Arabidopsis thaliana: one gene and its partners. The protein of the gene in region 1 interacts with the protein of each later gene in a pairwise test. Each region holds a gene or a part of one and is shown in the gene's direction. Other genes may lie near its edges.

Evidence for each region.
Region 2: the proteins of AT4G23930 (region 1) and RLP55 interact in a protein complementation assay, tested with the Arabidopsis thaliana proteins (one large-scale study listed by BioGRID).
Region 3: the proteins of AT4G23930 (region 1) and PGSIP7 interact in a protein complementation assay, tested with the Arabidopsis thaliana proteins (one large-scale study listed by BioGRID).

Annotation. Positions count from the first base shown.
Region 1 is NC_003075.7:12,431,301-12,440,973, reverse strand, and holds AT4G23930 (Late embryogenesis abundant (LEA) hydroxyproline-rich glycoprotein family), read left to right. Parts: upstream 1-4,146; 5' UTR 4,147-4,279; coding exon 4,280-4,843; 3' UTR 4,844-4,974; downstream 4,975-9,673. Other genes in the region: FtsHi1 (FtsH extracellular protease family), read right to left, coding at 1-303, 441-555, 729-924, 1,042-1,094, 1,175-1,303, 1,744-1,839, 2,101-2,166, 2,260-2,313 and 3 more; UGE2 (UDP-D-glucose/UDP-D-galactose 4-epimerase 2), read right to left, coding at 7,308-7,407, 7,545-7,636, 7,757-7,839, 7,923-8,001, 8,155-8,382, 8,493-8,594, 8,703-8,838, 8,923-8,972 and 1 more.
Region 2 is NC_003076.8:18,557,549-18,567,802, forward strand, and holds RLP55 (receptor like protein 55), read left to right. Parts: upstream 1-5,784; 5' UTR 5,785-6,019; coding exon 6,020-7,297; 3' UTR 7,298-7,373; downstream 7,374-10,254. Other genes in the region: AT5G45740 (Ubiquitin domain-containing protein), read right to left, coding at 507-549; RABA1c (RAB GTPase homolog A1C), read left to right, coding at 1,770-1,990, 2,662-3,091; AT5G45760 (Transducin/WD40 repeat-like superfamily protein), read left to right, coding at 3,573-3,680, 3,783-3,879, 3,970-4,031, 4,121-4,183, 4,269-4,328, 4,431-4,487, 4,584-4,626, 4,697-4,774 and 2 more; AT5G45775 (Ribosomal L5P family protein), read right to left, coding at 7,733-7,931, 8,328-8,523, 8,611-8,653, 8,749-8,856, 8,946-8,948; AT5G45780 (Leucine-rich repeat protein kinase family protein), read right to left, coding at 9,398-9,691, 9,780-10,171, 10,253-10,254. UniProt on the Arabidopsis thaliana protein: Involved in plant defense.
Region 3 is NC_003071.7:15,006,781-15,019,213, reverse strand, and holds PGSIP7 (Nucleotide-diphospho-sugar transferases superfamily protein), read left to right. Parts: upstream 1-4,929; 5' UTR 4,930-5,143; coding exon 5,144-5,487; coding exon of another isoform or gene 5,488-5,491; exon of another isoform or gene 5,492-6,962; coding exon of another isoform or gene 6,963-6,982; coding exon 6,983-7,443; intron 7,444-7,523; coding exon 7,524-7,671; coding exon of another isoform or gene 7,672-7,675; exon of another isoform or gene 7,676-7,748; coding exon 7,749-8,289; 3' UTR 8,290-8,507; downstream 8,508-12,433. Other genes in the region: OWL1 (DNAJ heat shock N-terminal domain-containing protein), read right to left, coding at 1-79, 368-421, 506-590, 729-817, 904-990, 1,077-1,191, 1,278-1,475, 1,769-2,055 and 1 more.

The DNA of each region.
Region 1 (9,673 bases):
GCCGATGAAACACAACTTGAGACAGTGTCTGACCACGAGGAATGATAGAAACGCGATCGCACCGCTCAATCTTTGCATTCTCATACCGCAATAAAAGATGTGAAGTGATTGCCACTCCGACTTCAGTTGTGGCTCTACGACACTGACCTTGATGTCCCAATTCTAAACCAATACGTGTCGGACCAACAGTGAGTCGGTCCACAGCGTCGTCCATGTCTGATTGAAGAATCGAGTTATGCGTTTTCCTGACAGCTACAAGAGCAGCCTCTTGAACCAACTGTGCCAGTTTTGCTCCGGACCATCCTGTAATTGATATAAACAATTACTTTAATCAAAGTTTTATACAGGCCAATACGTTCAAACACATAAGTTGTCTATGGGAAAAGGTACACCATGAGCATAACAAATATTCTTTGCAACATCAATTGTAGATTTTATACCTGGTAAGTTACTTGCATAAGATGATAAGTCAACAGAATCCGACATCTTGACTTTGCTGGCATGAATCTTCAGAATATCCAATCTCCCTTTCGCATTAGGGGGACGGACTCTTATCTGATAAGAAGATTATTTTTAACGGTCTATCCGGTACTCTTAAGTCTACAAAATTAATGCAAGATAAATTCAAATGGCTTGCGATTGTCGTTTGGTTGTTTATTAATTCGAATAACTGCTATCAAAAATTTGAGAACAGAAGATTTAGTGTCTAGATTTTGTTAATCACAAACCTTTCGATCAAATCGACCTGGACGTAGAAGAGCAGGGTCTAACAAATCTCTGCGATTGGTGGCACCCAAGAAAATCACACCTTTGCCTGTGTCAAAACCATCAAGCTCGATGAGTAGCTGGTTCAATGTGGTTTCTCTTTCTTGTGTGGCCGCATTGTACAACTGGTCTGAGTTTTCCTTGAAAATCCCTTGACGTCTAACGAATACCAAAATATAAAGAGCGATATCAGTTAAACTCCGTCTCAAGTTGAAAAATTATGCAAGGAAGGTAGTATATCAAAATCTAGATACAAGGGACGAAAATATTGTATACCGAGTTGCTAAGGCATCAATTTCATCGATGAAAATAACGGATGGCTTGTTTACCTGCACAAGGACATAGACATCATCAAATACTATTTAACATCTCTGCACAGAAATGTATAAATACACATATGTCCAATCACCTTAGCTCTTTTAAACAGATCTCTGATACGAGCTGACCCAACTCCAACAAGAACTTCGACGAATTCAGATCCTGCCATTTGGTAGAACGGTACACCAGCTTCCCCCGCAATGGCTTTTGCAACGAGTGTCTACGAAAGCAAATCAGGTTAGGTTAGGCTCTATATTGCTAGCAACTGGGTTGTCAAAAGATCCTTGTAGATAAAGCTAATCGACTACAATAAGAGGTAAACTGATCATTGACAATTGTATAAAACATTGAGATTTTATAAGATCTCAATCGAGAATAGGAATCAATCATAACTTGTTAATAGCAACTAAACATTCAAAACTTTTTTAAGACAAATTTCAGGTTTAAGTTGAAGGAGTAGTGATGATATTGCCAAACACTCAGCATACTCTGAAATACAACCATCAACCTCAGCAGAATTGATCTCAACAGGCACCACTGCATGTTTGATTATCTATAGTATTTCTTAGTATTCTAAAGTATAATGCTGCTACAAAAATACTATTCAATACTTAACAATAAATCTTTTCGATTGGCATTAGCATAGATGGTTACACATACCTTGCCACAACCAGGGGGACCCTCCAGAAGAACTCCATGGGGAGGTTTAATTCCCATTTTATCAAACAGGTCGGGATTCTTCAAGTACTTTACAAGCTATCAAGAAAATGAGATAATCGTAATGAGACTAAGAGGTTAGTAAGCTTCAGATCCCGGTTTCTCTCGAGCTTCCAAGATTCAACGAAATAATGTCATGCAACTTTATACTTGATGGGGTAGCAGTGAAGCCCTAATGGTAAGGGTTTTAGAGGCTAAGCTAACCAAGAATGCACATAATAAAACAAGAGATCCATACTCAGGGAAGAACTGGCGCAAGCATACTAAAGTAATTGCACGAGAAATTTGGTCAAGCGATACCTCTTGAAGTTCATCAACTGCTTCATCAATCCCTGCAACATCAGCGAATTTAACACCGGTTGAACCCTGAAATATAATCATTGAAGTCATAAAAAACTCAACCAAAAAAGTATTAGAACTGAAGAAACATGCATATAGGAGTAATGGTTAGAAACTTACATCAACACGAGCTTCTGCTTTAGACTGAGAAAAAGCAATCCCTTGCCATAAATCCTGCAAAAACATTTGAAGTGATTGAGGGCGCAAGCGATATCAATAGATTCTGCAAAAAAGTGTTGAGTGATTAAAGTATTATACCCATTTCCTAAAGTTCTTTGGTCTCCGTGACAGTGTGAAACGAACAAGAAGAACCATAGTCATGACAACAAGTAGGATTGGTTTGAGCATCTCCAGACTTGATGCTACACCACCAAATGTATAGAAATCAGAAATCCTTGAGAAGATGCCCCCATCGGCGAGAACATCAACAATGTAATCCCATGATTTTTCAAGAACACCAAGGAAGACGCCAACAAAAAGTTTGAGGAATGGCTTTGCTATAGGCCAAACAACATATACTGTAGTGACAAAGGCGAAACTAGTGACTGCAAAAACAGCTGAGGCTAAGAATCCTCCAACAACAACTGCGGCTGCAGCAATAACTGCTGTCACCATTCCCAGCTCAACCATCACTCTACTTGAAATAGAAGACGCAACAGGGTTTGGGAAGTCCGCCACTTTTCCAACCCAAGACTGCAAACATATAAACTCAGTCAATAACAGAACAAAATAGATCTGTTTGTCAACCTAGTGAATAGGTTATGAAAAATTCCTAACCAACACAATACAAAAATATTGAGGACATTAGATTATATAATCTAGTAGATAAGATCTAAATGAACAAAAGCGTGATCACCGTCATGTGCCTTTCAATTTCGTACTGCGGACCCGTGTATTCTTTCAGAAGAGCTTGAGCTTCTCCAACTTCAAGCTTCATTGACCTATCAAGAAACAGATCAATAAGAAAATCATACCAATATTCTCCATACATCAAAATTAAAACTTTTATTCTTCTTCTTAATCCTAGTAATTCACCATTTGGTTCTCTGTAAGCTCTTGACTCCAGGAATCTCCTTAAGATCAACAATAAAACCTCTATAGCCACTCGTATAAGAAACACCAGAAACTTCCTTCGATGTAAGCAGCTTAACTTTATCATTCTCCATAGCTTTTCTAAAATCTTCCAAACTCATCTTTGGTAAATCTTTCACATTTTTCTCAAACTCCTCTTCTTCAGATAACTCTGGCCCAAAAACTTGCTCCGGAACATAAAGCTTTCCTTTGTACTCCCTCAAAATATCACTCAAATAAACAGACTCTTCGCTTTTGTCTGTCTCTGTTTTCTTCTTCGAATCAAACTTCCTTTTGATAAATTCAAACGCACCCGTCGCCGCATTGGTGCCTTTGCTTAAATCTTCTCTCTCCTTCAGATTATACAGCTTATCACCAACTCGGTAACGAGGTTCCACTTGGCTAGGATTCTCCTTCAAAACCCTAGTTACGAAATCGTCAGCAGCAGGGGAATTGTTCGTCTCGCCGGAGCTAGATGACCCAGTTTTCAATTCGCACAAAACTGTAAACGACCGACGCAGAATTGGAGCTCTCCATCGAGTTTGAGTTCTCGCGGAGAAACTCGATGTAGTCGCGTGTTTCAATATCGATCTCTTGGGGTTTTCTGGGATTGAGAACCGAGTACCGAGTGAGAAAACATTGTCTATAGACGCCATTTTACGACGATAACCATGTACAGAAGAAAAAGAAGCTTCACTAGAATCGCATTGCGAAATTTGAATCTCTCTTCGTTCTGGATAAGAAAATAGAGCAATCGGAGGTTTATTCAATCTCAGGAGGTTTTTGTTCTGTTAGCTCTAAATTACAACAATTCGACCCGACTTCGAAACCCGGTTTCTGTTCCGGGTACATTGTTTGTTCACTAAAATAATTTATTTAGCTCTAGTCGGCCACCTTCGCTGCATCACACACACTTAAGTCCAAACTCCGTTGTAACGTTATCACTATGTCCAAACAAAACATCCTTTTGCTTTTACACGTCGTTTTGCTTTCCCTTTAACCAAAAATAAACTCTTTATCCCAACTAGTGAACACTTAAATCATCGCTACCAAACATCTCCACCGAGAAATGTCGAAGTCTTGTTCAAACCTCGCTTCATGCGCCGTCGCCACGCTCTTCATAGTCTTCTTAATCATCGCCGCACTTACTGTTTATCTCACAGTCTTTAGACCGAGAGATCCTGAGATCTCCGTCACTAGCGTCAAGGTTCCTTCATTCTCCGTCGCTAATAGCTCCGTTAGTTTCACCTTTTCTCAATTCTCCGCCGTTAGAAACCCTAACCGCGCAGCTTTCTCACACTACAACAATGTAATCCAGCTCTTTTACTATGGAAACCGGATCGGTTATACCTTCGTACCTGCTGGTGAGATCGAATCGGGTCGAACCAAGCGTATGTTAGCTACTTTCTCCGTTCAGTCGTTTCCTCTCGCGGCGGCCTCTAGTTCTCAAATCTCCGCCGCCCAATTTCAAAATTCGGATCGGTCCGGGTCAACAGTGGAAATAGAGTCGAAGCTGGAGATGGCGGGTCGGGTTCGGGTTCTCGGTTTGTTTACTCACCGAATCGCGGCTAAATGTAATTGTAGGATCGCGATTTCCTCGAGTGATGGTTCCATCGTAGCCGTCCGTTGTTAATATTAAAAAACAATTGTAAAAGTGACATGGTTATTTTTCAAAAATACATGTATGTGAAGTGAAACCTCTTGGGTTCTTTTCTGAATCCATCAAGTTAGAAAATTGCAAATATTAATACAAAGCTATTGTACTTTTAGATTTTGTACGTATACTAAATTACAACTTAACACGAAATTTTCGGTTGCCAATTGTAATAGCCTTAACATTAGTCTACATAGATATGCATGCTTTCCATATTCTTTGTTTGGATTAACGTTTTCTGTATAGTAAATACACTTATAGCCATAACGTAGGGCCGGGTATTCGGGTATGCGGGTCGGTTCGGGTAATACCCGATCGGGTACGGGTATACTGTTCTAGAATCCAATAGAGTAAATAGAAAACTTCGGTGGTTCGGTTCTAATCGGGTTTGGGTTGGTTCGGGTATAGAATTTTAGAACCGTTAAATACTCGAAAAAAACGGGTATCCTTCGGATTCATGTATTTTATATCCAAATACCCAAAAATTTACCCAAATACCCGAAATTGTACCAAATACCCGAAATTTGTACCCAAATAGTCGATAATTTTACCCAAATACCCGAAATTATACCCAAATAGTCGAAAATTTTACCCAAATATCTGAATTTTACCCGAATAACCGAAATTTTGTCCAAATATCCAAAACATTTACGAATATTTTGCATATATAAAATATTTAGTATTAAGTATTTAAATATAGGTACATTTAGTTTTTAGTAATTATTATTGGATATTTGGATATAAATGTATTTGGTTCAAATATTAAATATAAAATAAATTTTTATATGTATAAATCTATGAATAAGTATATGTAATTTCGGATAAGTTGATACCCTTTCGGGTATCGGGTTTGGGTCGGCTATTATCCTATATCCACGGGTACAACAATCTAAAACCCAATAGGGTAAATAGCTAATATACGTACCCGCCCCAAACCGGTTTTTCGAATCGGTTTCGGTTCGAGTTTTCAGGTACGGTTTTTTTGCCAAGGCCTACCATAACCTATATTTATTATTTCTTATTTAAGACATATACTTATGTTTTCTTATCTATCTTTTTTTACCGCTTTCTCCGTCTTCTTCTTATTTACTCTACATAATGAATCAATTTTATGATGTTTACATTGCTAAACAAAGTCTATATAATGTGATATGCGCATAAACAAAATATGCTTATGTTTTGCTTATGTTATGTATATATTTTGCTTATGTTATGCATGTATCTATATCTTTATAATTTACTATCATCTAATCTTTTCATATTTCTATAAAGATTGCACTTTCTTCTCTCCTTCGTGATCTTCGAGAGAACTTGTTCTTTAATTAATAAAAATTTCTTTAATTACTTTTATGATGTGGAACAAAAACAAGCTAAATATGTAAACATTGCAAACGCAATCGTTTGGACCATCGTCTATCTACTACATGTGGATCCAATTATGTTTGTAAGTCTTTTTTTTTATTGGGACTCCTACCCTCATCACTAATGGGATTGGAGTCTTGATCATGGGGATCTATTTGGCCGCATATATTAGATTTTGCAAGCACTCTACGCAGCGATTAGTGATTATCATTTTGGTACTCGAGGTGGTATCTGTAACTACATTTGCCACGTTGGCTTTAGGTTTCATCGAATCTTTGGGTCTTCGGTGATTTGTTATTGTGGACGTCTGTTGCGTTTTCTCCGGTGTCTGTATTGGTAAGTTTAGTTTATGAATATCAAAGATTAATAAATATCCTCGCATTACTAATACGAAAAAAAATTAACAACGAAATAATGATAAACGCAAGTGAAAGTTGTAAGAACTAAGAGCGTCGAACATATGTCGTTCTTGGTAGGGTTTGCAATGTTTGCAAACGCAACCGTTTGGACCGTCATCTCTTTACTGCCGGTTGATCGTATCATGTTTGTAAGTCTTCTGTTCTTTTAAATTGTTAGTTCACTTACATTAAATTTACCTAATTTTGATTTTTCAGTATTGAAATTTGATTTCTTTGTTCTTCAGGTTTCCTTTGTGTTATGCACAGTACTTGGCTTAGTCCAATTAGTTGCGTATGCCGTGTATTACAGATCGACTCAGATGTTTGATGAGCTCGGAATACAATTATGGTTGTGTGTTTGCTTTTGGTTTTGAGTTATGTGCGTGATTTGTTATAGATATTTGTATTTTTGTGTCGATCAATAATGAATGAGTCACATTTACAGACATAAATATCAGAAAAATAGAACAAATACACACAAATGCAAGAAAAAAAACTCCCAACGATTGAAAACTAACGATTTAATAAATATAGTTTCTATGATAAATTGATAGTACAAGAATTTTCCTCAATTTCTTCTAAAGTTTGGGTACTTGTCAGCCTTTCTCTTCTTTTTTTTTATGTGTTTGTTTATATGAATATAAGTAAGCAAAAAAGGCAAAATAAAAATTAAAAAAGGAGAATTATGAAGAGGAGCCATTGGAGGAGGAATTGTAGCCGTAGGGGTTATTGCTTGCCCAATTCCATAGATCCCTACACATCTCCTCTATCCCATTCTTAGCCCTGCATTGACACCATACCAAACAAAACAAAAAACTGCCTAAATACCAAACAATTACATCGAAATGTTGATGCATTGATTTTATGTTTGTCATTCATATACTTATTGCTATTATGTTAACAAAATGAAATGAGCTTACTTCCAATTTAGTTCGCGCTCTGCTTTTTCCGTTGAGGCGTAAACAACTTCAGCGTCTCCAGGACGTCGTCCAGCCATCACCAAAGGGATTTTCTAATTGGTAATAAATCATAAAGTTCAAAATCAGTTCTCAAAATATGGGTATCGAAAGGCAAATAACTGGCTCACTTGGTAAGAGTATTGAGCTAGTAAAACAAATCAACTAAGGTTTACCTTTCCGGATGCTTTTTCAAAGGCAGCGACCATTTCTAGGACCGATGTTCCATTACCCGTTCCAAGATTGTATACCTCACAACCTGACCATAACAAGTATTAAGCCTGACCAATGGCGAATAATGATGAGAGTAGAAACATCAAAGAGTTTTAAGATAATCCTTACTGATTTTGAGATCATCTAGCTTACGCAGAGCAGCTATGTGTCCATCTGCTAAATCCATGACATGAATGTAATCTCTAACCTGAAAGAAACACAACAAAGATGAATAATATCTGTTAATATAATTCACAATTCGTTGTATTATCTCCCATACTCCATAATATATCACAATTTAAGATTGTAATGTAAATCTGTCAAATGGTTTGTTGTCTATAAGACATCATAAGTCACATACCCCTGTACCATCCTTTGTCTTGTAGTCGGTTCCAAAGACAGTAAGGTGAGGTCTCCGGCCAACTGCAACTTGTTGGACATAAGGCATGAGATTGTTGGGAACTCCAAGAGGATCTTCACCAATGTAACCACTAGGATGTGCACCAACAGGGTTGAAGTATCTAAGCAATATGATCTTCCATTCCGAGTCAGAACGATGTACATCCCGGCAAATCTCTTCGATAAAAAGCTTACACAGCACAAGCAAATAATCTCAGTCAGATTCATTTCCTGATTATTATCATTCATCACCACTATCACAAGGTGGGCTTGGGTCAATACTCAGGCTAAAGGTGCTACCTTTGTACGGCCATATGGGTTAGTGGCAGAAATTGGTGACTCCTCAGTGCAAGGAACCTCCTTAGGCCAGCCATAGACAGTAGCTGATGATGAAAATACAAGCTGGAAAACAGAGTAGTAAAAGCCAATAATGAGATCAAACAAGACAAACTCAAAAAGGGAATGCATGTGGTGGCAATTAGAAAAAGAGAGAGGAAGGAAAAAAATTACATTTTTGCAGCCGTATTGAGCCATAACCTCCAAAAGAGTAACAGTGCCAACAATGTTATTATTATAATAGAGCAAAGGCTTCTCCACACTCTCACCTACTGCTTTAAGTCCAGCAAAGTGTATCACTGCATCAAACCTATCATAATTCCACGTTTCCATTAAACTTCGACCCCTCAATTATATCAACAGCCTAATCATAAAAAAGAAAAGCTTTTTTTACTTTGTTTCTGAGAATATCTTCTCAAGCGCAGGCCTGTCTCGGAGATCCACCTGCAGGTACAAAAACAAAGATTTCAGAAACTAAAATGACTACATAGATTCTGATTTCTGCAATGGCAGACTATAACTTTATTGTTCTGTGTTTAATAAAATGATAAAATTCTGATTAGCCCTCCCCAAGAACATCCCAATTTCACACACAGACAGATCAACCTTGTCAATATTTAATTATAGCACTAAGGCTAAATATTAAATTACTCTTTCACATGGCATCATCAATACTTAATTCATGATTATGTGTACACACAAAGAAAACTTAGCCACATAGTGTACACAAATATTAACCAGAACCATATGAAAACGATGATACGAAATTCTTCAAGCACACGTTTCCTAAACCAAATCAGCACCGAGAATTTTTCATTTCCGCGGAGAGAGAGAACGAAAACAGAACCTGGTGGAAGGAGAGGCGGTTTCCGTTTTCGCCGGCGAGTTTCTTCACGCGCTGAAGCGAAGCAGCAGAGGAATTGTCGTAATTGTCAACAACGACGGCGGAGTAACCACCTTCAAGCAGTTGAAGAACAGTATGACTTCCGATATAGCCAGCGCCGCCGGTAACCAAAACACTCTTCGCCATCGTTAAGAGAGAAAACAAAATATCTTAGAAGTTTCGAAATTCTGGAGAGCGTTTTGTTTTTTATTGCGTTTTGGGATTGAGCTAAAAAGGGTTTTATAGAAGAAGCGGTTTTGAC
Region 2 (10,254 bases), on another chromosome or scaffold:
CTTCAGAAGATCATCACAGTTTCAATTTCATCAAGACAACAAATACAGTATAAGGCAGAACGAATCAGATTATATTGTCTATTGTTCACAGAACAATTTTTCTTGGTAAAAATGGAATGTTATAACATTAGTAAACGGCCATTTCATTTCAATCATACCATCGATAACAACTTTCTCTGATCCAACATTCTAATTCTGAGCAGTAGAAACAATGTTGAAGAGCATTCTAATTCTCTGCTGAACTAATTCTGAGCTTCAAAATTTGGAATCTTTAACGAATCACAAACATGTCAACACCACAATAAACTGATATTTCCTTCGAAATCACTCCAAGAATCATAACATTTGCAAGATTAGTTCATGTTAACACCTCAAAACTAGAACTATCACCAAGAATCAAAACATTACAACACAAGTATAAATCGTAGCCCAAATTCTGAGAACAAATTCAGCGAGACAAACGGAGTGCGGAATTAAAGGTTTAAGAGAGTATCGATTCCACTAACCTCCGCCTTCATTTCTGGCCTGAGAAGATCCGATACAACCCATTCTCGAACCGTTGAGAGTCGCGTTTGATTAGGTGAAAATTGGAAGTCGCTTCGAACAAGTAAAGTAAATGCCAGTACAAACTCGACCGTCGGGAACGAAACGGAGAAAGATAGCCGCCGATAAGAGTTTCACGGCGGGAGAATCGCCGGAGAAGTCTGCAAGAGTCGTCTTCAAGGTCAAATTCTGTTTTGACTGCCAAATTAGGCCATGAATGTTTTGTTGATTTTGGTGGGTTTTTGGATTTTGGATTGTGGCTTTTGGTTTTTTGTTTTTGATTTTATGAGTTTTTGATTTTGGTGGAGATTTTAGATTTTGCAAAATCTTAAATGGTAACTTTTCTAGTTTTTGATTTTTATATAATTATTATTTAGAAACGTTTTAAAATTATTTATTTAAAACTTTATTTTTATTTTTAAAAACAAAAAAAAAAGAGTTTACGATAGAATTTGTTGAAAATCCCAAAAAAGTGAATTTTGGATTTTAAGAACAAATGACTAGAATCTTTTAAATTTTGAATTCCCTATAATTTAGGAAATTAACTTTTTACAAAATCATGAATGGATGAAAAAGTGGATTTTGTAAAATCAAAAGCCAAAATCAACTTTAAAAACTAGTACCATTCAAGGCCTTAGTTTGTTAGAGAGAAGAAAGTGAAAACAGATCTCCCCGATTTTATTTATAGTCACTTTACTTGCCACGTCATATTATTCTGGATTAGTATATTATATCTGTTTGAATTAATCGTCAGCGTCTGTAGTCCAACGGTTAGGATAATTGCCTTCCAAGCAATAGACCCGGGTTCGACTCCCGGCAGACGCATTCTTTTTTATCATTTTAATCAGTTTAGAAAAACATAAAAGATAAAGACAAATGTGAATTGACGAATACGTCCTCGTCTTTATCGAAGCGAGCAAGGTAATAGATCAGAACGCGTTAACAGGGCAGTTTAGTAAATTTGGCCACACAAATGTTAGATTTCTTTGTGATAAAGACAGTACACAAGTCCTTTGTCTTTCTCGTTTGATATTTTCCAATTCCGCGTCTTTCTCTGTTGAAATCGAAAAAATTTTCAAAACAAAATCTAAGGAAAAAAGAGCAACAAGTTTCAAATCTCATTTGGGTTTTTCATTTTGAAAAGAAGGACCCATTTTTATCTCTCTCTTTGTTTTGTTTTCTCGAATCTGAAGGAGTAAAGTTAAAAGCTTTGAAGGAGAGAATCAATGGCGGGTTACAGAGCAGATGATGAATACGATTACCTATTCAAGGTTGTTCTGATAGGTGATTCAGGTGTGGGCAAATCCAATTTGCTTTCACGATTCACGAAGAACGAGTTTAGTCTCGAGTCAAAATCCACGATCGGGGTCGAGTTCGCGACTCGGAGTTTGAATGTTGATGATAAAGTCATCAAAGCTCAGATTTGGGATACTGCTGGTCAAGAAAGGTCTCATCTTTTTCAACCACATTGTTCATTTCTCGATCTGGTTTCTTATATTAGAACATTTTGATTGAAGTTTTGGGGTTTATGGTTTTGTTTGGTTGCCAAAGACAGTAAATTTTCAGCTTAGGTTAGATCTGTATCAATTGATTTAGATCCATTGGTATTGATCACTTTTATAAGAAGAGATCTGGATTAGTATGTGATTTTGACAACTTGGGTTTTGTGTAAGATAGGAGAATCCTATGATTATGATTATAAAGTTATCAGCTTTATCAAATTTCTTCTGTTGTTTTTGCTATTTTAGGTTTATGTGAGAGAGCTTGATTGGTTTCAGTAACTTCATTTCTACGATTCTTAGCTCTTCTTTCTCAGATTTCACCTAAGATTCTTCAATCATTATCGATTTCTTCTGTTGTTTTTGCTTAGTTTATTTATGTAAGAGAGCTTGATTGGTTTTAGTTGGATTCTTAAACTTTCATTTGAAGCTTTTACTTGGTCTTAATTTCAAAATTGAAAAGCTTCTTGCTTTGTATGATTTGCTATTCTCCATTTCTCTGATCAGTTTTGTAAAGCGTGCATAGTCTGAATTCGAAACTGTAAAGCTTCTTGCCTTTTTTGTGTTCCTGATGTTTCGGTTAACTTAATTCTCTGTTTCGTTGACTTTGTTTCAATAGGTACCGAGCCATCACTAGTGCGTATTACCGAGGAGCTGTTGGAGCGCTTCTTGTCTACGATGTAACCCGACACTCAACATTTGAAAACGTTGAGACTTGGCTGAAAGAACTCAGAAACCACACTGATCCAAACATTGTAGTCATGCTCGTGGGCAACAAATCTGACCTTCGCCATCTCGTGGCTGTTCAGACTGAAGATGCTAAGTCATTCGCCGAGAAAGAATCTCTCTACTTCATGGAAACCTCGGCTCTCGAAGCCACCAATGTTGAGAACGCTTTCGCCGAAGTCCTCACTCAGATTCACCACATTGTGAGCAAGAAGGCGATGGAAGCTGCGAGCGAATCCGCTAATGTTCCATCGAAAGGAGACAAGATCGATATCGGTAAAGATGTTTCAGCTGTGAAGAAAGGTGGATGCTGCTCGAACTAATCAGAGAGTAGAATTATTGTTAACAACCTAAGGATCGGTTTTTGTTAACGGTTCTATCGAATATGAAGATTGCTTTTAGGTTGAGTAATGCCCATTTGGTGTATTTCTGTTATTTATCTGATCTATCAATGTTATTGTTTGAAAATGCTATGTCAAATTTTCAGAACCCTAAATTATATTTATCTCAAACAATAGAATTGTTGAAAAGAAAAGATAAAAATAGTTTCTGCCTTTGATGATTTCAGTTTGGTTGAACATAATTTTCGGTTTGATTTCGTTTCACCGTATCGGTTCATTTTGGTTAAGTGGTACTAAAATCGATTTCTGTTAGGTTGGAATTTTGTTGTTTCGATTTTTTTGGTACAAAACCGAAGGATTACCAAAATATCCGGTTTAGTTTTGGTTTGTTTCGGTTAGCCTTTTTTAGCTCAATTTAGAGCTTGAAACTGAGCAATCGCCGGAGAAACTCTCACTCACAGTTATGGCTACGGCAATGGAAGAGCCAAGGAAGCTGAGAGGCCACAAATCAACTGCCACTTGTTGTATAGCTTCTCGTGACCGGCCTGGAATTGTTCTCACTTCCGGCGAGGTTTCTTAATCTCTAATTCAAACCTCTTTTTTCCGATGAATTTAGGTTTCGTTATTGTAGTTACTTCGCAAGATTCATAGTTTTCCGATCATACGATTATAGGATGGTTGCATTTGCTGGTTTGATTTGCGATGTAAAGATGTTCAATTCATCATCGATGTTGGAACAGAACCAGTTTCATCTCTTTGTTTCAAGACAGGTTTTGTCTCTTTGTGTTTTGTCTGTTTCTCTCTCTTTCAATTTCTTCTCTTTGTTGCAATTTGGTGATAACTTTTATTTGATTTTTCAGGTAATGAGAACATTCTCTATGCTTCTTGTGGAAACGAAATCAAGTCTTTCGATGTTCATACGGTAATTTAAAATGTTCAAACTTTGATTAACTAACTATAACCATATCCTTCACTTAGTTTTAAAGCTTCTCTCTTTATGCAATTTCATAGCTAAGTGCTACTTCTTGGAAGCCATTAGAGAGTTACAATTACAACAAAGATGAAGTTAACCAGGTAGAGATACTAAAAACTCGACTTTTCGAAAAAGTTATCATATTTACCTATGACATTGATGTTGACATCTTTTGATTTGTTAAAGGTAGTATGTAACGGAAGGTCGTCTTTTCTTGCTTCTGCAGATGATTCCGGCGATGTTAAGGTACACTCAATAGTTGTTCTTAATACTTAAAACTCTTAAAGATTACATAAACATGAATTTTGGTGGGACGGTTCTCGGTTTGATTAGTTTGCTTGTACACAGATCATCGACCTTGGTCAGAAATGCCTTTATAAAACCCTTAGAGCTGGTCACACAAGTGTATCCTTACTTCGTTTTTTTTACCCATTCTCGTCTATGAAACTCTACTAGCCTCGAAAAAATGTCTCAAATCAACACCTTAATGAGACATATAAGATATGTAGTTCTGTACAATTCATTCCATGGAGACCTTGGGAAGGTAACTAATATCTTATTGTGATTTGTTATTATATATACACATCTCTTCTAAAGTGTCTAATTTCTTTCAGTTATAACTGGTGGACTTGATTCAAAGCTTGTTTTATGGGATTTCTCAAAAGGTCGCTCGCAAAAGATTATAGACTTTGGTAAAGACTATGCCACTAATTCTGGTTTCTTTAGCCATATATATATGCAACAAATCTGATTTTGCAAGTCATTTCTGTAATCTTTCAGGATCTGATACAAATAATAACTCGGGACAATGCCTAAACCCTGCGTTTGTTCACTCAATAGCAATACCGGAAATGGACATGGTTGATAAGTTAGACAAGATATGTGCGGTTGCTAGAGGTGATGGAATTGTCAATTTGATCAATATCGAATCAGAACTTTCCCGAAAAGGAACATCATCAAAAGGAAGTAGCAGCAGCAGCAGCAACAATGTGGTCAAAAGGGTTTGTTTAGACTACTCTGTTGGTGGACACAATTCTGCTGTTTCTTGTGTAGCCTTTTCTCTGTTTCAGGAGAAAGGTAGATTCTTAATCTCTGGTGGTAATGATAAAACAGTCAAAATCTGGGATTGCTTTAAATGTCTTGATCCAAACAACAACAACAATAACAGTGATCTCCTCCATTTGAATATTAACCTAAGCAAGAAGGTAACTAAAAGCTCACATTGTTCTTTTTGCTCTTTTCTCTTTTGTCTGATTCTGAACATTTGTTGGTGTTTCTTAAACAGGTGAATTGGCTTTGCACGAATCAATCTGATTCTGAGAATCTTGTAGTGTGTGACACAACAAGAGTAGTTAAGGTTTACTCAATCTCTTAAATAGGCCTGATGGGTCCATAAAAATAGTCTAAAAGCTTCATCCTTTTTGACATTGTTATTAGTCTAAGAGATTCATTTTTATTTTTGACATTAGAATGGTTGCTTGATCTACAAGTTAGTTTATTTTTTTGTTTGATAACCAAATTATAAAGAATGATTACATTTAATTATTGAATTGTTAAATTCTTTTACTATCATCAACTTCATTACGTACTATTTGTTTGTTCTATACTTTTGTGTATTTAACTTCTCCCTTTCAGATTTTTCTTCTTGTCCCATTTACACAATTAAGATTTTGTTACGAAGTTGAAATCCAATTTATTTTTCAATAAATTATGTTATAATCATAACAAAAAATAACCTACCATTCTAACAATCTCAACTCAGAGCAACAAGTAATTTCTATTTGGATACTACGGAGACTTAGAAAATTAAGAGACTGGGGAAAAATAACAAATCAAACACTTCCCTCTTTAAGAGTAAAGAAGTCTCTAAACTGTGACAAACTCACAAGACCCTTCTTTCAAATTCCAATCTTTCCAACATTCCTCTTCTGTCCACTATGAAACCGCAGCAACCACAACCGCCATTGCTCCTCCTCCTCCTCCTCCCACTTCTCTTAACCACCGTCTCCTCCTATCCACTAAACCCAAAACAGCTCAAAGCTCTCCAATCACTCAACATCTCTACACCAACTAATGATCCCTGCAACAACAACAACAACCAATCCTCCTCCTCGTCCATAACTTGCGACGACGCTTCTCCTTACCGCCACATCACCTCAATCTCCTTCACAAACTGCTCCTCCACTCTATCTCTCCCCTCCAAAACACTCAAACCACTCTCAAAATCTCTCATCTCCCTCTCTTTCACTAACTGCCCTTCACTCTCTCCTCCATACCACCTCCCAATCTCCCTCCACTCCTTCTCCGCCGTCTCCTCCTTCCTCCAAAACAACCGTACCAAACTCTCCGGCCTCTTCCTCGCTCGTCTCAAAAACCTCAAAACCCTCTACATTTCCTCAACCCCAATCCAAACCTCTCGTCGTCTTTATGTCATCCTCGGAAACATGCATAAACTCACTTCCCTCACTATCTCAAACTCAAATCTCACTGGCCTTATCCCTAAATCTTTCCACTCAAATCTCAGATACATAGATTTATCAAACAACTCACTCAAAGGCTCAATACGCATTTCCATTACTCGTCTCAAAAACCTCAAGTCCTTAAACTTATCTCATAACTCTCTCTCTGGCCAAATACCAAACAAAATCAAAAGCTTAACTTTTCTAAAAAACTTATCTTTAGCTTCAAACAAACTATCAGGAACAATCCCAAATTCACTCTCATCTATCTCTGAACTTACACATTTGGATCTAAGTATGAATCAACTAAACGGAACCGTTCCAAGTTTCTTCTCCGAGATGAAGAACCTCAAACACTTGAATCTCGCTGATAACTCCTTCCATGGAGTTTTACCATTCAACGAAAGCTTCATCAAAAATCTCAACTTTTTCGAAATTGGAAGGAACAGTGAGCTCTGTTATAACAAAACTGTTCTCTCCTCGAACTTGAAATTGGAGGGTCTTGCTCCGTGTGATAAATACGGTTTTCCTTTATGGTCTCCGTCGCAAAAGGAGGAATCTTTGTCAGGAGAAAACGATTACGACGTTGAAGGAGGCAATGAGGAGAAGACGGAGAATCTGAAGACGAAGGAAGAAGAAGAAGAAGAACACAAAGGTTCCAACAAGACTCTGTTTGGTCTCGGCATTGGTCTTTTCTCGCTTGTGTTCTTAATCCTCTTCCTCTTTTATCTCGCTAAAAGGTGTCGTTTGATTTGAGAAGTCTGGGACGTAGTAATTTTGTATTGGTTGTGTATTCACCCTTCTCTCCTTCTAAATGTTTTATTTTATTTTCTCCTGTTTTAGTATTTATGAATTGTGGTTATGAGTGTATTTATGAATTGTGGTTATGAGTATCTTTAGTTTTATTTATACAAATTTGTTCAAAACATAGGGTTAGTTTAGGGACTGTGTAGTCCAGAGACATATTCATCTATAAGGACAATGAAATCAAAGGAGCTGCTTTTGATTGATTTTAGTTTTGATGATGACATTGAATAAAATAAGAAACATATCTCCAAGGTTCTTGGAAGATTTAGATTCTACCAAACTGATGTCAAAAGATTTACTACAACAAGAAATTCTTTAACATCCAAAGATAACAACTTAAAATAAGCTAGAATCAACAAAAATCTTTAAAGATCAAAACACTTTTTAACCAGTGATGTTCTGAGACTTGTTGAGGATAACTCCTTCATACTTGACCTGGAACCATTTCATTGCATCATCCTTGGTTACTCTGTGTTGAATACCAACACGAGTCTTGCATCTACGGCGGCGAGCCACACGATATCCTGGGCGTTCAAGGACAACGTAAAAGTCCATTCCGTAGATACCAGTGGAAGGATCGTACCTATATACACAAAATAAAACACATGAGAACAGTAAACATTTCAAATAAACCAGTTAATCAGTTTCGAATCTAACACCCTTGAAAAACAGTAAAGCATTCATCTTTTACTAGACCCAAATCTAGCATTCAACCAAAAACTAGTAAAGGGCTCATTTTTAATCCAATCCATACTTAAAATTCCACAAAAACTATAACACTCAGCGAAAACCAAAGTAGTCTGCATTCTGACTAAACCTCACAAAACCCCTAATTTAGAGACTTGACATTTAGATGCAACTGAAATTCTTTTAAACATATACAGATACATGAAGAATCCAAGTACCAAAACCATTATACAAAGCCATTAATGTAACTAATTCAAGGAAACTTTCATCGCAAAAGAAACAGAAAACTTACTTGATTCCAAGATCAATGTGCTCTTGGATACCAAATCCAAAGCAACCAGTGTCACTGAAGTTCCTCCTAAGAAGCTCATACTCCTTAACTTTCAAACCACTCTCAAGAAGCTGCATTGCCTTCTCACCTCTCACAGTCACATAACACGCAATCTTCTCATTACGCCTGATACCAAAAGACCTCACAGTGTACCTCGCTGTATAACAAAAACCACAACATACATCAGAATCAAGATCAACACAAAATCAAACTTAAATCCCTGAAAGATTTCAAATTCACATACCCTTAGAGAAGACAGGGGTTTGTCCACTGAGCTGCTCCAACACCTATACGAAATAACCAAAAACAATAATTCAAATCTAAATCACTAAATCAATGATGGATAATCGTAAAGGTCAGATTTTTACAAACAAAATCGAACCTTGGAGGCACGAGTGAGACGATCACCACTCTCACCAACGGAAATGTTGAGAACAAGTTTCTGAACCTTAATGTCCCTCATGGGGTTCGAGAGCTTCTTCTCCGACGCCTGAGAAACAAAACAAAGCCGAAAAATAAACCCATTGAACTAAACACATTTTCATTGAATCGATCTACAGAGACGAACGAAACAAATACCATTTTAAGGAGATCAATGTCGAGCTAAGAGACGAAGCAGTGTAGAGTTTGCAAAGCCCAAAACTGCGTCGAGTGCAAAGTGAGAGAACTTATATGGGTCGGTACTTAGGGTTTCTTGAATTAACGCAATGACGAAATTACCCCTTTGATTTATTAAAATGGTTTAATGGGCCAATATTATAAAGCCCATAAGAAAAGCATAATCTTAAGCATATATTTGGCCTTCTTAGTTACATAAGGCAAATAGTCTTTCATTCGCCGAATCACTTTATTATGTATGAGTTTTAAAATTAACGATAGATAATTTTTTATGAGACTGTGGAAACGCAAATCTTCATTTATTTTTGGAAGAACAGAATAAATAAGAGTTATTGAGAAAACAAATTTTTACAGTTAATGCCATGACAATGACAACAAAATCAAGAAGACTAGTTAAGACACTATGAAGTCTATCATCGTGGTCCAGAGAGCTCAATGGCTTCAATAATAAAGGACTGCTCTTCATGACCATTACTGTAGTTCCTAGAGACACTTGGAGCTCTAGCTTCATACCCTCCTTCACACTGTTCCACTAAACCTTCTAGTACCTTCAACACTTGAGACATCCTCGGTCTTAGATTCGGATGTGGCTGTGTACAAAGCAAAGCCAATTCCACTACTTCCTCCAACACCAAATCATCAAACTCTCCCTTCAAATCTCTGTCCACCATCTCTGCAAATCTCTTCTCTGCTTTCAATGTCCTTACCTACAAAAACCAATGGTTTAGATTTAAGTTTTGTCCTTATGGGTTCAGTCTAAGTTGAGTAAATGACTCATAGAATTTTTTTACTTACCCAGCTCAATATCATTCCTTTTCGAACTTGACCATTGCCTTGATCAATCATCTTATGACCTGTTATGAGTTCAAGGATTAGTACTCCGAATCCGAAAACATCGGTTTTCTCTGAGGACTGTCCAGTGGAAAGGTACTCGGGAGCGATGTGTCCAATGGTTCCTCGGACTGCGGTAGTGACATGTGAATCTCTCTGGTCTAAAAGCTTTGCTAGACCAAAATCGCCAACTATTGCTTCAAAGCTCTCATCAAGTAGAATATTTGCAGCTTTGACGTCTCTGTGAATAATCTTTGGATTGCATTGCTCGTGCAAGTAAACAAGTCCTCGAGCTGCGCCGAGTGCAATGCTTATCCTCCGATTCCAATCTAGAGACGGCTTTTCTCCATAATTGTCTGAAACATGTAATCTTATAAGGAACTTTTCGCGTTATATATCGAAAGAATAACAAAACAAGAAATGTGTTAATTGAAAACCT
Region 3 (12,433 bases), on another chromosome or scaffold:
TTAACAAAAAGTAAAGAGATGTTGGAACAATGAATGCTCCAGTTGCAAATACTGGAGCTAAATGTGCGGAGAGTAGAATCTGCACGTTTCAAAGATAATCATCATGAAGGTGTCAAAAGTGAAAGACTTCCCCAGAGTAATACGGATGTTTGTCTTTGTCCATAATTGAGTTGGGTAAAGGTTTCAGAGAGTCAAGGATAATGCTCTAGAATCCATCCCTAGGCTTTTAGGATTGGTCTTTGGTTCTATTGGTTTATGCTTTTTTAATATATTCTACTCCACAGATTAAGACACAATCTGTTCGGTTCTTATCCGAAGACAGCAGACATGACACCACAAGAAAAGAAAGGAAGAAAGTAACACTCACGGGAACAATCAGCTTTTGGCTACCACGGTGTAGCTCTACTTTCCAGAAAATACCCTACAAACAAAGTATAAGAGTACCGGAAATAAGCAGATTGCATAATGGCTAAGATGGCTCCGAAAGTTTTAAAGAGTAGTTTACCTTGAGTCCTACTGTATACATCATTCTTACTGTACTGAACTCAGAAATTTGCCTTCCACCACCGAGCTCAATCTCAAGAGCATTGCTGAATAAGTTAAAAAAAAAATTCCAAAGTAAAATGAGAACAATGATTGCGCCACACATGTAAAGACAACTTAAAAAATGATTTCTATCCTCTCGCACATCATACATTAGGTTGCTCGGGATTGTCAATAAAACATACCTTCCGATTCTACCCACAATGCGACCATGAGATTTGGATGAAAGTTTACGAGTATAACGAGCTGATGCTCCGAGTCCACCAGATTCAATCTAGTAATAGCAAGATTAGAGCTAGGGAAAGTAAGAAAGGTGGTCGAGGTAAGAACAGTCAGAATGCAATTTGGTACTCAGCCTACCTTAAAGTCACCAGCAGCAGATACATTCTCGTCTCTCTTTTTCCATCCAACTGTAATTGCTGATCGCATACCCAGTGCCAGTTCAATCTGGATGAAATGAACTATTTTAAAATCGAGAAAACTGCTTTCTCGCCATCTTAGAAGGTTTAATCAAAACAACAGAGCGAACTTACATTTCCGCTTGAAGTTTCTGAAAGCTGTCGAGTCCACGTGTTGGTAAGATTGATGGAGCCATCACTCAAAGACTTTGAAATATTGATTGTGGCAGTTGAATGTATGGTTAACTGACTGCCCCAACAAGAAACCCATAAGAGTCACATAAACCGAAACCATAAAAGATGCCCAGAAATAACTGGAAAAACTCATGAGCCTACCGTGTTGTCTGCACTCCAATAAGCGACTGCAAACCCGTTGAAGCGACAAACTCTATGGATGACACTGGAGAAATCTGACGTCTCAGTATGGCAGTAGCGACTCCGCCACCAGACTTTTCATTGGCCGCCAAATTTCCACCAATGGCAATTGCATCATCTTTTGACAACTGAGACTGCACTTGACTAGCCATAACCATTCTGAAAGTTGCAGATACAAGCACAAAAGAAACGAAAAGGCATCAAAAACTACTTCAAATGAAACAAAGTAGTCAGGGCTAGTGTTGAGCAACCAAAATTCTCACACAAGATAACTAATACACACAACTAGATAAGAAGAAAACAGAAACAAGACCAAATCTTTTCTCAATAAACCATTTGCTATCAAAACTTTCCAGACTAGTAAGTGTCTCCAAGGTCAAATTAGGAACCCAAATCAAGAACCATGCTACCAAAAATACATCAAAACTTGAAAAGAAGAAGAAAATAAGTACCCTCTCATGATGCCATCGCCTACTAAAAAATGTGGGACAGACAAATTGAAGAGAATAGAACCAGTGGGTTGAAAATGAGCCATCTTCTTAGCTTCTTCATTTCTCCTCTTAATCCTTTCAAGCTCCTCTTTGATCTCATCAGCCTTACTCAACCTAGGACCAAGCTCTAATCCTGAATTCAATCCTTCCATGCCATATAAGTCATATATTAGCCTCTTAGTCTCATCCGACAATATCTCATATGCTTCACATATCCGTTGGAAATTCTCCGTAGCTACTTCCTTCATCTAACCACACAAATTCTAAATCAGCCCACTCGAAAAAGCTACTTCCTTTATGTAAAGTATCCAAATTTGATATCACGAAGATCAGAGGCGAATTGAAAACAAAGAAGATTGATTCGGGCAAACCTGAGGAGATTGGATCTTGTCAGGGTGATAAACTTGAGCCCATTGACGATAAGCTTTTCTGATTTCTTCGTCGGAGGCCTCCGGTGATAAATTCAGGAGCGCGTAGAGTTCTCTGTTGGGTGGTCCCGTCGGAGCTGCTTCTTGGCCCATCATTGCTTAAGATTCAATCGATTCAGTGATTGAAATCTCGATAGAGACAGTCAAAGGAAAGTGATAGAAGAAAGAGAAAGTTCCGGTGCCGGAGGGTTTTAGGGGTTTTGCGGCGGATGAGGTTTTTTGACACCGCTGCTCTCGGCTTTAGCTCGCTTGTTGACGCTTTGACCCTTGCTTGATTCCCAAGTCCATTCTTCTTTCTTTTTCTTCGTCCCCAATTCCCTCGTAAATTCTACTTTTGACATCTTATTTTATAAATTGTTCAATTTTGACCCATTTCCATATGTTAATGGGCCTTAAAATGTCCATAAGGCTTCGGCTAAAGCTACACATTAATCTTGACCCACAAAACAATCGATTTCTAAAGAGATTAAGAAGACAAGATTAAAGAATGTTGGACTAAACATATATCCAACAATCTCGGAGAAATAGAGTCATAATCTTCTCTTTCAGGCGTTTTGTCAAACTTATTGGGCTTTCTTTGGAATCCATCTTGAAAATAGTTTGCATGCTAAGATCTTAACGGTTGGACCAAACTCGAATTTGAATACCTGAATATTGTCCGTTTGATAACAATGGGTTTTGTTTGGACCGAATTCAGATGTGAGATTAAGTAATTCTCTAGCCTAATGTGTTATGTGGATACTTGAAAAAAGGTAATCAAGTTTGCATTTAATTGTAAGAGTTAACTTTTGTCATATGAAGATTTCGATTAAGTTGTGTTTTATTGAAGCCTTGAAATAGTAGGTACTCCTGTTTTTCATCATCGCAATCGCAAAGATTGGCTCATGAAACTCATTGTAGCAACTAGCAACCTTTCGATACTTAATAAAAAGAAATAATGTCAACATGGTCTTTAAACAATAAAACAAAAATGTACATAAGTAGAAGTCAACAGAAAAAGGAGACACTTGGTTGGATCCGTAAGCATCTAAAAGACAATTTCAGACAATTTGGACCGACGCGGTTTCAACACAAGATAAGAGGAGTCGTGTCTTGTTTAATCAGTCAACGTTTACTCGACCCTTTCCTTCCTCTTTCCCTTTTCTCTACTTTCTTCCCCCAAATTTCTGTTCTAATATACGATAAAGATGTTTTTTGTTCCATTTATTAGTTTTGTTCCTAGTTTTTATTTATAATTTAGTAGTTTATAACTATTTAAAATGTGCAGTATTTTAATTTGTTATATTGGTTGATTTTTTATAAATGAGAAAATACTTGTTGTTTCTTAATCTTTGTGATTTTAGCCAAAACGTTTTTAAGAAAATGGGATAGAGGAAATATAATACAGCCTATTGCATGATGAAATGATACAACACGTAATCTTGATATGTTGTACAATATAAATATCCATATTGCCATATACTTAATAAAAAAATACAAGATGGGTTGTTATGTATTACTCCATAAATGTGCATATTTGGGTACGTACAGTCAACGTTGGATATCTGCCTAAAACATACAATGAATTTTATTTTCCTGTTAACCTCAAAATAAGTGGTACAAAACCAACGTGACAAGGACGACTATTAGAAAACGATAACAGTTAATGTAGTTAGGTATAATTCTAGTGTCTGAAACGATCTTTCCAATAAAATTATACTATTATGCATATTGTACTTTGTATTTTGCTAAGTAATTGTGAATCAAACGTAAGAACATTACTTTCCTCCTCTCTCCTCTGACTAATATAGGGCTTCTTACCGTACAGTCTTGTGGATGTGACTCAAAACATCTGTACAAGAAATTTGTGTATTTTCTCACTATTCTTGGTCCAATCTGAGTATTTCTATACAGTATAGTATAATTTTTTCCTTATTTTCGGATTTTCCATTCACTTTTGTTGGAATTTTTTTCCAGTTTAAGAGATACAGGAAAAAAGTTCTCCTCTTAATTACTCTAATTATTAAATTTACTAATCCTATTTCAATTCCTCTCATTTCCAGTATTTCAATCCACTGATCGTCCAATATGCAATATATTTTACCTTTTTAACACACAATGTTAGTTTCTTGACAGATTTGACTTTGAATTTTGGTGGAGATTAGTAAAAGAATTAAAGAAATATGTAGTGGAAATATAAAAAATAATGAACTGGGATGAGATTACACACCAGACACCACTTGCCAAGAGAACAACGGGCTCAGTCACATGGTCCTAAATTGACCATTTCCATAATATTAGCTGCCAACAAAATACATAAAATAAAAATACGGTTACTTTCATAACTCCCCTTTTAATTTATTAATATTTTAAAAATTAAGCAGACCTTAATTCATCATCTTTTAGTGCGTTACAAACTAACAGCGTTACAAATCTCTCTTAGTCCAAAAAATGTGACTAAAAGATTTCTCTTTTAAACCCTTAAAAATCTGGAATCAAAATCTTTTATATTTTCAAATTTTTTTGGAAACAAATAAGAATGTAGAATTCGATCAATATGAAAGAAAAATGAACGGTGTTAGATTTGCTTTGGAAATATGTAAACTAACAGTAATTAACTTGTTTTAGTCATTAGCAACTAATACAGTAATTAACTTGTTTAAAGTAAAATTAGAGCAACCTAGGAATATATGCTCAACTTTTTCGTTTTCTTCTAATTGTTAAAATAATGTTGTCATTGGCCAGTCGCCATTATACCTTTTTAACCCTTCACAGTCTCCCAGAAACCTCCCTTTCTCTTTGATACATTCTCTGTATATATATATATACGCGTATGCGTTTACACATTCTTTAAAAGTTTCAGATTCTAGATAAATTCTTTTCATTTGATTTGTTTTAGCAATTCGGACATTGTACAGAGAAATCAAGAATGGATTTGCAGAGAGGCTTTGTGTTCTTGTCTTTGGTTCTATCTTTTATGATAATCGAAACGACGGCGTATCGAGAGAGACAGCTGCTGCTGCTGCAACCACCGCAAGAAACGGCGATAGATACCGCAAACGCGGTGGTGACGGTTCAAGATCGAGGTTTGAAGACGCGGCGACCGGAGCATAAGAACGCATACGCAACGATGATGTACATGGGGACGCCAAGAGACTACGAGTTCTACGTTGCGACACGTGTTTTGATCAGATCGTTGAGAAGTCTTCACGTGGAAGCTGATCTCGTCGTCATCGCTTCTCTCGACGTTCCTCTCCGATGGGTTCAAACCTTGTAAGTCTCTCTTCCGACCATCTTAAACGCTGTCGTTTCGAAACTTGACCACCAAACTATTATTAGGCTGGAATATACAATTGCTATTAATTTTTAAAAATTTTTTTACAAAACATTCGTAATTTTCACTATAATGGCATCGTGCGTGAAACAGCAGGAGTTCTAAAAACAAATTCAAATGGTATTTTTCTATATATATCAACATTACTTATTTAAGCAAAGGGAAAGAAAAAAGTAAAGATAAGAATTGGTCCTTGTCTAGTTGTATTCTTGAATATATAAGCTAATATGAAAACAAATATATTTCAGTTTAGCTTATAGAAACAAATATTTTAAGAAGTTATAGTTGGCAGTGGCACAGACAGATACACCTTCCCTTTCCTCTACGTCCTTCCCTGGTTGGACTCTTGAGTCTTGATTCACTTTTTTCTCTTAGAAATTGAAGTTAGCTTAGAAAATTGTTCGAATGAGACAACGACCACCTTATTCATAGAAAATATCGAGACAAAAGCATATTAGTTTTTTTTATTCTATCGTTTTCTTTCTCTTGATTGGCTTCACGAATTAAAATGGAATTTTTTGAGTTCATTTTTTGACCTTACTATTTTGGTGTAAGTAAAAGTTGGAGAGAAACAAATGTTTGAGTATTTATGGTTGACAGACACTTAGACCAACGCATTTAACTCCATTATATCCTCTCCTATTGGTCCTATATAGTATATGACAACGCGCCTATCTGTATAGAAATATATTTGTGTTTTAAAAAATCAATTCTCAAAAACTCGTTAGGTGTCATCTAGTTTTGAAAAACTTCTTTTGTTTTTTTCATATTAAGTTTTTGATTAGTTTAGTATTTTTATAAGTTAAACAACAATTTTTAAAAACATATTTAATAGGCATGTAGGTGAATTAATCATTTGAGTTTCTATGGACAGATTAGACTAAAACTAAGTGGTCCGGATGGTATTAACCACCAAAACAATCCAGTTTTCAAAAATTTAGAAATAAACCATAGATTAAGTCAACAATTCATTATGCACCCAAAAAAGTTGAAACAGGCGTAGAGATAAAGAATATGGCAACTAAAAGCGATCGATAGCAATAATCTTATTACATTGAATTGAAATCATATTAACTTAAGGAGAGTTGTTTGACTTTAGCGTTTTGATTGAAACCTTTTGGAAACAAGAAAGAGCTGTTTTTTTGTGTCAAATTACTAATTTATGACCGGCCAATCTGCTGCATAGATCATGCAATAACGTCTACATCTCAACCTCATAGCCTATAGTAATAATTTTTGTGTCCTTTAGAGCACATCCGATAAGAAAGATAAACCTATAATAATTGAAAGCAACATTATTAGGACTTTACACAAGAACTTCATTTTCTGATATGATTCATAAGAATATATTTATTCTAAAAAACATGCATGCATAACTAGTTTGTTTGTACGATGTTTGTGTGTGTGAATACTAATGAGCCTCTTTGTGAGCAGGGAAGAGGAAGATGGAGCTAAAGTGGTGAGAGTTGAAAATGTGGATAATCCATACAGGAGACAGACCAACTTCAACAGTAGATTCAAGCTTACTCTAAACAAGCTCTACGCTTGGGCTTTGTCTGATTACGACCGTGTGGTCATGCTAGATGCCGATAACCTCTTTCTTAAGAAAGCCGACGAGTTGTTCCAGTGTGGGCGCTTCTGTGCGGTCTTCATTAACCCTTGTATCTTCCACACTGGTCTCTTCGTGTTGCAGCCATCAGTGGAAGTGTTCAAGGACATGCTCCATGAGCTACAAGTTGGAAGAAAGAATCCTGATGGAGCTGATCAAGGTTTTCTTGTCAGTTACTTCTCTGATCTTCTTGACCAACCTCTCTTTAGTCCTCCGAGTAACGGATCTGTACTTAATGGTCACTTGAGACTTCCCTTAGGCTACCAAATGGACGCTTCTTATTTCTGTAAGTAGTCTCTTAATTCTTCTCTCAAGATTTTGTCTATAATGATTAATGTTGGCTAATGTATTAACTTGTACTCTCAGATCTTAAGCTAAGATGGAACATACCCTGTGGACCAAACAGTGTGATTACATTCCCGGGAGCTGTTTGGTTAAAGCCATGGTACTGGTGGTCATGGCCTGTTCTTCCACTAGGTTTCTCATGGCACGAGCAGCGTCGCGCCACTATAGGGTAATTTTAAATTTTTAAATGATGACAACTCCCTCTTAAGCTCTGTATAGTGGCTAATAATAATGATCTTGCAATAGGTACTCAGCCGAAATGCCTTTGGTTATAATCCAAGCAATGTTTTACCTTGGAATCATAGTGGTTACACGACTAGCTCGTCCTAACATAACCAAGCTATGTTATCGCCGCTCTGACCGCAACTTAACAACGATCCAAGCTGGTTTTAAGTTGATCGCGCTTCTCTCTGTAGTTGCAGCCTACATCTTCCCATTCTTCACCATCCCTCACACTATCCACCCACTCATCGGCTGGTCGCTCTACTTGATGGCTTCTTTTGCTCTCTCTTCCATTTCAATCAACACTCTCCTCCTCCCAACGCTCCCTGTTCTCACTCCATGGCTAGGAATTCTCGGCACTCTCCTTGTCATGGCCTTCCCTTGGTACCCTGATGGAGTGGTCAGAGCCTTGTCAGTTTTCGCATACGCATTTTGTTGCGCACCCTTTGTGTGGGTTTCATTCCGCAAAATCACATCGCACCTCCAGGTTTTGATTGAGAAAGAGGTGTTGTTCCCGCGATTGGGAGACTCAGGGGTCACTTCAGGCTTCAGCAAATTGTATTAGGGAGTCTTTATTTGACATATTGTTTCTCTGTATATAAAGGATTATTATTGTTTCATTCACATTACATTTATATCAACTCACTCTAACCTTCTTTCTTTTACCTAGTCAAAGTATCAATTTCGGTAGCCTGATTTCATACTCTTCATTATTGTTTTTAACTCACTCTCTTGGATTTAAAGATTTGTAGCATGAAAAGTTAAAGAACACAAACAATTGAGCACACTCTGTTTTTCTCTCTGTTTTTTATTTGTGTCCCTCTTTGATTTTTCCTCTCTAGTTACAAAAGCCCCCTAGATCCAGGTCAAGCTGTGATGTAGCTAGAATAAAATTACAAGTAGAGACCATAGAGATTCCTTTGGATTATTATTAACTTGCCTACTAGACTTGTGATAGTATGCTTCATATAGAAAACTCCTAATTTGATGAAAAGTCTAGTCTATATTCTCTAGGGTTAGTACATTTTAAGATTAATAACGAAACCACCTTTCTCCATAGCTCCGAAACACACTTGTATGCACCTACTCATCACAGAAAGATATTGAACAAAATAATGAATCATTCACTAGAAAAACTGTAGACGAAGAATATTAAGAGCAAATTGTTTACCCATTTCTCCAAGTTTCACAGCTTTCGAATTAGGTTATCGCCGCCAAGTATAATAAATAGCGACATTTATTATAAGACGGCGAGTTTTCTTTGGGCCACTTCACCCATTGGGCTACCCATCAGCGAACTAGTCCAAATTTTTACAATATACGATCCATATATTGCTAGGTTTATTGGTCAATCACGTGTTATTGCATTTTAAAATTGTAATAAAGTTATTGTCTAAATCATCCGTTATATGTTTATTAGACTAGAATAAGAATTTAATTTCATATTTGGGTGGGTAGGGGGGGGGGGGTCCTTTTTCATGTATATAGTAAAAGCATAAAAATAAGTTATTAATTTTTAGTTGAAAAAAATAATTATTCTCTTATACCTTTTATGAACCAAATAATGAAAGTGTGTAGGTCTGTATATAAAGTAGCTTGGCCTTTGTGGAAGGCACCAATATTATTATTATCAGAGTAGAGACATGGGCTTTTGTGGTTTGTTCTAATAGTTATCAGAAGATACAAATTCCACTTTCGTCTCGTTCGTACAATGGCGACAGTACGGACATAACCTAGCACGTGTGCCTCAGCCCACCATTTCTAACTTCATCTGTAGGATATTCTCTCAACTTTTGTACGTTCCTTCTTCTTTTCACGCTTTTTATATATATACTATTTTAATGATTTTTTACCGTAAAGGGAAACAATTCAGAGGGACAATATCTTCACTCCAATTTGTTCTAGCGTGTCCCTTTAATTCCAATTTCCAAACTAATGATTACGTTAGACGTGTAAGGATAGCCTTGTAGCTTAGTGGTTCTTTTTTCTTTTTCTTTCAGGTTCTAATAATCAATAAATGATGGCACCAATTGAACCGTGAAGAAACGTCCTATGAGCGAATGGCGCGAATGTGTTGTCTTCACGAATCATACGAGAGTAAACATTGTTCATAACCAGATTTGGTATCGGGAGCGTATGTTATTAAACCGTTACTTATTAAGACTGAAGAGAAACTTTGACCTCTTATATCTTCTCATTTTATTATATGCTGAAGGCCTGAAGCTGTACACGAACAATAACGTGAGTTTTTTTTCATTTTTTCTATATGTGGTATATAAATGAATGTAAGATTAAAAAGAAAAAGTGAATGTAAGTTTAAATAAATGATTGTAGGCAATCCTGTGTTTATAATGTGTCCAGTGCTAATATAAATTACAAGTTTATACATGTCTAAAAAAAAAAACTAAATATTTGTATATAAAAATCATTTACTTGCACTTGTACATCATTAATATATGGGATAATTGTGTTTATCTACTTATAGAATTTGAAGAAATAAAGTCAAGACACATAACACATTCGAATTAAATTCAACCCAAACAAATCAAGTTGAACCACCATCTAAATAGCTTATGTGGATGCATTTGTTGTTAATTAAATAATTACCGTTTGAAATCATTAAATTACAAAATATATAAGAAAAACATTTCCAGTAAATTCATTAAATTTTTTAAAAGGTTAGAAAAAAAAATAAGATGAAAAAATGTTTTACCTCACTTATCTAGCCAATAGGTCAAAAACGGAAAGATGAAGATGATCTAGTTTTGGAAACTGGAGTATTAAGGATCTAGTCACCTAGGATTCTCCAGCTTGTAGACGTCATCGTTGGATATATCACATCAACGTGTTTAATCACATATTCATCCAAACAATACGACAGACAGGATAGCTTTTTTTATTTTCTTTCTTTTCATGAAATTAGATTAATACAAACACCCTTTTCTATTGGTGAGAGATTTACATCTGTAGTCACTTATTAGTTCAATTCATATTTATTCATTTTTCATAATCCTTACAATATTAATAATATTTATATAGTACGTGAAATTCTACTTGATCTTTTTTTCAAATTTAAATATTATTATATTTAATAAATATGAGTTTTCTTTTTAATAATATGAAAACACGGATTTAAACCGAACTACAAAGTACAAACACAACAACAAAATATCATAAACCACTAAATAACATGGTTTAGTTAATACATACATGGTTACTTTATATTTTTGTCAATAATTTGAGAGACAAATTTTAATTTTAATAAGTAATGTTCAGAAAAATGATATAATTCACAACTCTTAATTTGTTTTACAATCCTAATGTTATTATAAACACACATAACATTAGGATGGTTAAAAACACATACTGATATGGAAGAATGAAACCTCAAAAATCTTCAAAAAAACTGTAGCCATTATTTGACAATGATGTTGATTTGGCCCCATGATGTCGAAGCAACATACGGCTCACATTTAAACACATAGGCAAGTTCGTACCCCCTGCTATATATAGGGACAATATAAGAAAACAACCATTTATTCTTTTCCAAAAATATCAGAATTTCGGAAACTTTCATACTAATAAAAAATTCGTAAATTATATGCTGGTTTTCATATTTTAAATTTCTACAAAAGATTAGAAAACAAAACATAAAACGTTATATATGTATATATATTAACATGTAATTTGTAATTTAACCCTTTTAAAAACTTTTTTTTGGGTGTATTTAGTTTCAAATCTGTACGATTTTCTTAAAATTTATCAAAACAATTATTTAATGAGTACGACAATTTTATTTCATTCTATATATTTTATTTTGATCAAATAGTAAGTTTTACGGGACATTTCCTACAAATGTTTTGGTTAAAAAATGGTAAAAAATAACTATTTCTTACAAATTTCTTATGTTTTTCGCCGTAAGAAAACTCACTATTGTAGACTACATAAATAGAATACGGTCAATTACTGTCAGTTTTCTTACCGTATATAACTACATAAATAGAATAAAAAAAACTCCACTGTAATCCACATTGTAGACTGGAAAGATGATATTCGCACGACAAGGAACTATATCATCAAGATGTCATTGAGTCAATTACAACATAGTTAAGAAACCAATTCGAAAGGGAAGTAAACTTTGACATACGTATACATGAAATATAAAAATCATCTTTTGGTTAATGCCATCCCGATTGCTCCCAGTTATCCCAATTATGAGATGATTTGGAAAAATACATTAAATGATTTGTTTTTGTATGGTTGTAGGATTAATTAGCAATATCATTCATAGCATCATAGTCCAGTAGATAATCAACTCTTAATCCAAAATACAAATCTCTTTCAGGTCTCGTGGAAGGCAACATGACATCATTAAACTTTTTAAAAAAACACTTCAAAGTTTGTTAAACGCATCCTCCTTCTTTGCAAGGTTTTGCCAACATAGACCAAACTAACTTATAACGCTTGTTTTGGTGGACATTAACCGTTGTTGGGAAATAATTGTTAGTTTATGATTACTAAGTTCAGTTGTAAAGTTAAATGATTAGTTCTTCTTAACAGAAAATTGATTTATATTATTTCTCTGTCTATTTTCAAATAAACATAGAAACTAAAACATCATTTACATAAAATGAAGAAAATAATAACTTTCTGTATCGCTTAATAGAAACCTAAACAACCAACATACAATAGTCAAATGGCTCAAATAT